Linked DNA regions of Canis lupus familiaris. The protein of the gene in region 2 purifies or fractionates together with the protein of the main gene of each other region. This does not show direct contact. Links are inferred from orthologs where the notes say so. Each region holds a gene or a part of one and is shown on either strand. Other genes may lie near its edges. The genes, in order: BAG6 and USP13.

Evidence for each region.
Region 1: the proteins of USP13 (region 2) and BAG6 purify together in Homo sapiens (affinity purification with western blotting; 3 studies listed by BioGRID and IntAct, with this or other methods). This does not show direct contact. The link is inferred for Canis lupus familiaris from reciprocal best matches to the Homo sapiens genes USP13 and BAG6.

The regions. Positions count from the first base shown.
Region 1 is NC_049233.1:1,273,842-1,277,653, forward strand, and holds part of BAG6 (large proline-rich protein BAG6), read right to left. Parts: intron 3,798-3,812; exon of another isoform or gene 3,602-3,797; intron 3,592-3,601; coding exon of another isoform or gene 3,337-3,591; exon of another isoform or gene 2,499-3,336; intron 2,372-2,498; exon of another isoform or gene 2,228-2,371; intron 2,033-2,227; 5' UTR 2,020-2,032; coding exon 1,906-2,019; intron 624-1,905; coding exon 506-623; intron 376-505; coding exon 179-375; intron 1-178. Other genes in the region: APOM (apolipoprotein M), read left to right, coding at 3,337-3,591. UniProt on the Homo sapiens protein: ATP-independent molecular chaperone preventing the aggregation of misfolded and hydrophobic patches-containing proteins.
Region 2 is NC_049255.1:13,303,564-13,307,375, forward strand, and holds part of USP13 (ubiquitin carboxyl-terminal hydrolase 13), read left to right. Parts: intron 1-1,230; coding exon 1,231-1,384; intron 1,385-3,507; coding exon 3,508-3,682; intron 3,683-3,812. UniProt on the Homo sapiens protein: Deubiquitinase that mediates deubiquitination of target proteins such as BECN1, MITF, SKP2 and USP10 and is involved in various processes such as autophagy, endoplasmic reticulum-associated degradation (ERAD), cell cycle progression or DNA damage response.

The DNA.
Region 1 (3,812 bases), on a different chromosome or scaffold from region 2:
CCTCCAACTCATTCTCTGGAGCCCCACCCTTTTTCTCAAAGACTGAGGCCGTATCAGACCGCAGGACCCTGGAAACCCAATCTAAAGACCAAGACACCTTTCTTATGAGCTCTCTGCTATTACCACAACCAAACCACCCCTCCCCACAAAAACTGTACTATGTGGAACACAAGCTTACAGGAAGGTTAAAGGTTCCAACCATGACATAGCTGTTGGCATTCCGGTCATGAACAGAGGCCCCAGGCCCCCGAGTACCAGGCGGGGGTCCTCCACCATGGGTGGCTGAGGCAGATCCTATCCCAGAAGATGCCCCAGAAGGGAGCGGAGTCTGAGGAGGAGCCCGTTCCACCAGGTGAATAACCTTTCCCCCAACATCTGCAGGAAAAACACACACACACACACACACACACCAAAGCATTATATAATCAGGTAAGCCCAATGCCTCAATTCATCTCTCTAGACAGCTGCCTCAACAACCTCTGAACTGCCTCCCCCAAACTCTTACTGTATTCCTGGAGCTTCTTATCATCCTGCAGAACTCGTCCCTGATAAATGAGCCGTTGTTTCTCAGAGGGAATACTAACAGAGGCAGCAATGTGCTCTTTAAACTCCTTTACATTCATCTACAAGGAAAAAGAGACAAAAAACTAGCAGCGATTGGAGGAGAGAAGTACGGAAGGGGAACAAGTGACTTTTGGGAGTGAGGGGTAAAAACCACTCAACCATAAAACCGCTACCCATTTGTCTTGACTGTGAGGTAATTATTATGCAAAGCCCCAAACTAAGACATTTTAACACCTGTCAAAAAAGACAATAAACATTAACAAAGTTCAGATTATGTGCCCAGAGAAAAATATGTGGCTGAGAAACAGAAATACTGAGTGACATATCCTTCTCTCCCCGCTCCCAAAAGAATGTGTCTACAGATACCAATGACCCCTCCCCAAACACAAAATGCTACAACTCTGCAATCTCAAAGACAAATGCAATGATAAGGAAGCGGGAGTAGAAAATCAAGAAAGGAAGGTTCAACAGAGCAGAAAGAAAAGAGCAAACACTTTCCTAACTGTAGTAGTGATTCTTGGGAAGCACCAGTTTACATACATCTAATCACAAGGACCTATATGATTTTTTCTATATGTTTTAAAAGCTACGGAACAACCCCTCATGATTTTGTCTCAAAATATCACAGGAATTAATGGCATAACAGCCATGTCTGTGGCGCTAAAAACAAAAGATTCAAATTATGCCACACACACTAGTGATTCCGCTCAGCAGTGTGTTAGAGTTCTACCTGCATTATAGGCTCTGACTTCTAGCCTTTAAAGGCATAAAACAGGGATCCCTGGGTGGCGCAGCGGTTTGGCGCCTGCCTTTGGCCCAGGGTGCGATCCTGGAGACCCGGGATCGAATCCCACGTTGGGCTCCCGGTGCATGGAGCCTGCTTCTCCCTCTGCCTATGTCTCTGCCTCTCTCTCTCTCTCTCTGTGTGACTATCGTACATAAATAAAAATTAAAAAAAAAAAAGGACATAAAACAGACCTGACCAATTTTTAAGACTTGAGTTTTGGATCTCTGTTCTGTTTCCCTTCCCAAAGGCAGGAGCCATGTCTGTCCTCTTGGGCTGGGGTTCACTCATGATGCTGGCATACGTATTTCTCCCTCCGTATTTTCCTCTGCACTGAATTCTTTCAAGGTGGGAAAAGGCAGAACAAAATCTGCCTCATTCGACAGAATCCATACCTTCTCCCTCAACAACAAACACCAGAAAACGTCCTATCTAGAACGTGAACAAAGGAACCAATGAAGTAAGATTTAAGGACCAAAGAAATTCGGTTCTCTCAGGATAACAGACCTACAACAGAAAGAGTTAATGGGTGTCTTCCAAAAGTACTGGGGTCTCACCTGGGCCCCCACAATAAATGTCCGAGTCTGAGAGTCCAAGGTCTTCACCAGCACCTCCAGGCTGTCAGGCTCCTCCATACTGGAAGTGGTACTGGTACTATCAGTGGGCTCCATCGCAGATAGATCTCTAAAGAATAGAGGGAGGGAAGCCTCCTGTCGCCCAGAGCTGATTTTATATACCCGGAAGCCTCACCGGCTTGAGTCTCCGCCCTAATATCTGAAGAGTTTTTCCCGCACGAGCCTACACACTCACACCCGCCCCCATTCCCCTTCTGATTCCGAGGCACCAGGAGAGAAACACAAAGGGCAGGAGATCGACGGCACAGGGAGCTGGAGGACGGGCAGGTGGGAGGGGCTCCGCAATGCCAATCACAGTAAGGGAGGGCCAGTCAGGCTGGGAAGCCGGCAAAGTAGGAAGCAGGAGACTCGTGTCATCACCAGTCGCGATACGACAAAGGCCCCAAAGGTCGGCAAACCCCCGGGAGCACACGCGAGCGGGGGGAGGGGGGAGTCGCGCCAGATTTTGCGGAGACAGTGGTTTCGCGCACGCGCGCCACGCCACGCCCACCGAACCCGCCTAAATCACGACAGACCCGAAATGACGGACACGCACGGGGGGCCAGATTGGCTAGCTGACTGCCCCCCTCTTCCGCCTTCCCTCGATGCTCCAGGAGAGCGGCGCAATCAACACACACCACACACACGCACAAACCCCACCGCAACCCACACCACCACCCCGGGCTCCGCCCCCGACTTCCCCACGGTACCGTCACTTCCGGTCTCCCCCAACTTGCCACCGATGGTCACTTCCGTTTCCCCGATAGTATTTGGGGATCGCAAGGCGGTACTTCCGGCTCCCCCCAGGTCCCGAAGTTTTACTTTTGTTGGGAACGATGAGGAAGTTCGCGGCCCCAAACAGTGAGTTCCTTGGGGCCAGACGGGCCGGGGCCGGCCTGGATGGGAGGGAGCCGAACACCCCGAGGAGCCACCGCCACCGTCGCCCGGGGGGCCGTCCTGCGCCTGCGCGCGTCGCACTACGCATGCGTACACCTTTAGGCACCGCCCAACCCCCCGCTAACGCTGTTCTTGTCTGTGTACGCGCTTGAGCTGTAGGTGGTTGAGGTGGCTACTTTAAATGCCTGAAAATAATTACCAGGTGAGAGACTATGTTTCAAGAGGCTTGGGACAGTTGTGTGCCTCTAGCGGTTTGGCGACTGGGGATTATGCCTCGTGAATCTCTGTTAAAGTCTTGGCCGGCCGAGAATTTGAGGCGGCACTGCGCTGGCCTCCTAAAATTCTGTCTTCGGCGCCTCCGGAAGTCCTCCTTTCTCTAGGCGTTGGAGGTGGTTCGCGAGCAGCCGGGGCGTGCCGCCGCGTGGTTGCGGCCGACCTCGGCGCTGCGTGGTGGGCGTTTGGCTGGACGCGGGCGCCATGTTCCTCGGTGGCAGCGTGCGGCCGGTGGACACGCCATGTTGTGGAGCAACTACGGATTCACTGCTTCACAGGACTCTCCTCAGGAAGGGCGCCTCCGAGTTTGGGAATTGGAAGGGAGTGGAGTTGGACTGGGCCGAAACACAGGATTCCGGCCCTGGAGCACTGAAGGGGCCACCGAAGGGCTTCCGCAGGCCGGGGTCCCCCGGCGGACTGGGCAGTGCTCACCGCCTGAGCCCCCAACCTCGGCCTCGGGTAGGCCTGCCTGCCTCCCTTCCGGGCCCACGGCCTTTGTGGGGCCTGTCGTTCCTACTCGATTCCCAGTACTGATTCATAAGAGCCCTAATAAATAATTGTTTAGCGAGCACTTGGTTTGTAACAGGAATATACTCAGGGCTTTGCGTACTGTCCTGTTTAAAAGCCTTTCAATACCGGAGATGGTCATTACATCCATTTTATAGGTGAGTACACTTAGG
Region 2 (3,812 bases):
TGACAGAGCTCCTTAAGAGTCCACTGTGGTATTTGGTGTCCTTGTGCCACCACGCAGAGATGGTCACACTTTGCTCACAGCAGAGTCAAATCACATTAAGTGTGTGGTTTTTATTTTTATTTTATTTATTTTTTTTAAGATATTATTTATTTATTAATGAGAGACACACAGAGAGAGAGAGAGAGAGAGAGAGGCAGAGACACAGGCAGAGGGAGAAGCAGGCTCCATGCAGGGAGCCCGACGTGGGATTCGATCCGGGTCTCCAGGATCACACCCTGAGCTTTAAAGGAAGGCGCTAAACTGCTGAGCCACCCCTGCGTCCCAGTGTGTGGTTTTTAAAAGTCCTGAGAATTCATGATGAAAGGCTCTCACCCCTACCCCCTTAAAAAAACAACTACTTTTTTTTTTTTTTTTTCTGATTACAAACCTGTTCTTTGCGGAAAATATAAAAAGGCACAAAGGAAAAAATGAGAATCACTCGTGGTAACAGCCCCTACAGACAACCGGTGCTGACATTTTGGTGTCTGACCCACCAGTCACTTTCTGGGAGCATTTATTCTCTTCATGCTGTTTTATAAGCATTGTTTTCTTTTCTTTTCTTTTTTTTTTTTTTAAGATTTTATTTATTCATGAGAGACAACAGAGAGAGGCAGAGAGACACAGGCAGAGGGAGAAGCAGGCTCCATGCAGGGAGCCTGATGCAGGACTCAATCCCGGGTCTCCAGGATCAGGCCCTGGGCTGAAGGCGGCACTAAACCGCTGAGCCACCCAGGTGTCCCAAGCATTGTTTTCCACTTATCCTGTTGTGAACATTTTGCCACATCATTACATATTTGAATGTAGTGTGATTTCTTTTTAAAATTTGTATATAATTTACACTAATGCATTTACATGACCATAGCATATGCGCCTTCATTTTTCCAGGGCAGTCCTTTAGGTTGGTTCTCCCACCCCCTTTCTTCTGATTCCATCTAGGTCAGTTCCTCTTTGATGACTGTTAGTAGCTGTGTAATGTTCATTCACATGATGAACTATAGTTTAACCAGTCCCCCCATTTTGGGATATATGGCAGTGTTTGGTTATTAAAGGACTCTGGTGAACCGCCATGCCCACAGGGAAGGCTTAGTAATGCCCAATCCTTACACCAGATTTATATTCTCTTCTATGCTGGTTTTTATTCACGGCTTAATATTTCATACTTTTACTAACCTTATATAATCTAACCTTCAGAGGAACCGCATTGGCTCTGAAAACCCAAGTGATGTTTTTCGGTTTTTGGTGGAAGAACGTATCCAGTGCTGTCAGACTCGAAAAGTCCGCTACACGGAGAGAGTGGATTACCTGATGCAGTTACCTGTGGCCATGGAGGCAGCAACCAACAAGGGTAATGGTCCCAGAGTGGGAAATTGGCCGTGTGCTTCCTCATCCGTGCAAACCCTGCAATCAGAGATAATGTGGTTTAGTCACTGCTAAGTCACGTCAGGAGGAGACCCAGCCCAGATGGTGTCTGGTTGGCACGTCTCTTTACCTCAGCCCCCATGTGAGAAGAGTCAGAGGCATCATGGGTTTTTGTTGGAGGGATTATGGATAGAACCTATTTTAGTGCCTATAAATTTGACCAACTGGTTGATTTGGAGTCAGCTTAGTTTGGGGGAATATTATTTGTAATTATAGATGTGGAAAATTCTTTAATGTTAGCGCTCAACGATTTATGCCATAAATTCTGGGGGAAATGATCAGAATCGCATTTTTTGAGGTGAGACGATCTAGGAGAGCTTGCTTGAAGTAATCTGAGAATTGAAGACGCCTCCTGTGGGAGATGCAGTGGGGCAGGGCTCTTGTAGGGAAAGGCCCCTTAGAAGGGTCTTCGGACTTTGGAAACAGGAAGAATGTAGAGGAGCTGCGGTAAGGCTGGGGTCTCTGGGAAAGACTCCTTTAGTCCGTTTGTCTGGGAGAATGGGAGAATGGTATTTCTTAGAAATGAAGCAGAAAAAGGCAAAATGTTTGCTCTATTTCTTGTGTCCTGTGAACTGGTCATTTCTGTAAAAGTCAGTAATTCACTGGGTGGCCTTCTTTCCTCTTTTTTTGTGGGGGAGAGTCAGTTTGCTGTGCTAATTGAAAAGTGATGATTATGACATTTTTGGGATGAAATGATTTCCATTTTCTATAAGCTCATGCAGCTTTTGATCAGTTTCTAAATTCTTACCCATTTTATAAGGTAGAAATGAGGGTAGGGGTCTGTAGTTTGTTTCCAGTTTAGAATTAGGCTTAATTGTTCTCTCTTCCCAGCCTTGAGGAGGTTCCACTCAGTTCTGTGATCCTCTCTAACTCACTGTTTATAATTTGTGAGTGACAACTATTCTTTTTCAGAAATATTTATAATTTAGTCTCTGGAAATTGATTGCTGGGAACACCTAATGCTGGTATTCTAGATCTAAGTACATCATAAACTGATTGTGGACTGGACAATGAATTTTAAAAAAAATATTTTATTTATTCATGAGAGAGAGAGAGAGAGAGAGAGAGAGAGAGACAGAGGCAGAGACACAGACAGAGGGAAAAGCAGGCTCCATTCAGGGAGCCCAACGTGGGGCTTGATCTTGGGTCTCCAGGACCATGCCCTGGGCTGAAGGTGGCGCTAAACTGCTGAGCCAATCGGGCTGCCCTGGACAATGAATTTTAAACCCATTTTCAGATGTGCTTAAGAAGACACAGAAGGGCATAAGGGTGCCTAAAAACTGATAATCAGGAGTGATTTTTTTGGGGGGTAAACAAAAGGAATTCCCAGAAAGACCCACTCAAAACTATGTAAAATTTTGACTTATAGGCAATTTCCAAGAGCAGATCTACTGACTCCTGGGAAGTTGATGATGTGCTGTTTCCTTTTTCCCTTGGTATTTAATTGTTTGAGTAGGAATAGTGTAGAAAGGCCTTCTAGGCTGGTAGCTCTGCTACCTGACCTTGTGGGTCACCTCATTGTCAGGGCAGTGCTGGTTAGAATCATGTGCTGAGTGGAGTGGAGGACTGTGGTCCCTACAGTTTAGCTCCTTGGTCCACACTCTCCATGACCTCTAATCAGAATGAGATGACCCTTGGGTCTCCATTCAGTGTGAGATTCTGTGATGTGAAGACTTTGTGATTGGAAGGTGGCATTTGGGTAATCCCAGCCTTGACCTCTGGACAAATGAAGGACCAGGTTTCTGCATCACTTATATCACATGTGAGGTCAGGAGGACCTCTGATCTGGGCTGGAGTTCACAGATCCCTCCCATCAGTCTCAAAGGGGAACAGGCAAAAAAATATGAATGGCTTATGCAGCCTGTCAGTGCCACTTTAAAAATGGCTCAAGAACAGCCCTTCAGTAGGCTTTTCTGGATCCATAAAGGGCAACAAATAAGTAATCCTGCCCTGGCCCAGATACCTTCAGGAAGATTGGCCAAAGGGAGTATTTTTCACTTCAAGAAGCTAGAGTGAGTACAAGTGAATACAATTTGCTCTTTTACTCAGATGAACTGATTGCCTATGAATTGACGAGAAGGGAAGCAGAAGCAAACAGAAGACCCCTTCCCGAGTTGGTTCGTGCCAAGATACCGTTTAGTGCCTGCCTTCAGGCCTTTTCTGAACCAGAAAATGTAGATGACTTCTGGAGTAGCGCCCTACAAGCAAAATCTGCGGGTGTGAAGTAAGTGCGCATGTGTATGCACTTGTGTGTTTGTGCTTGTGTGGTGATAGTGGCATGAGGAGGGGCCCTTGAGAAGTGGGGATGAGGAGGGGAGAGGTGGCAGGGTATTGTATGAGTCTGTGCACGCTTG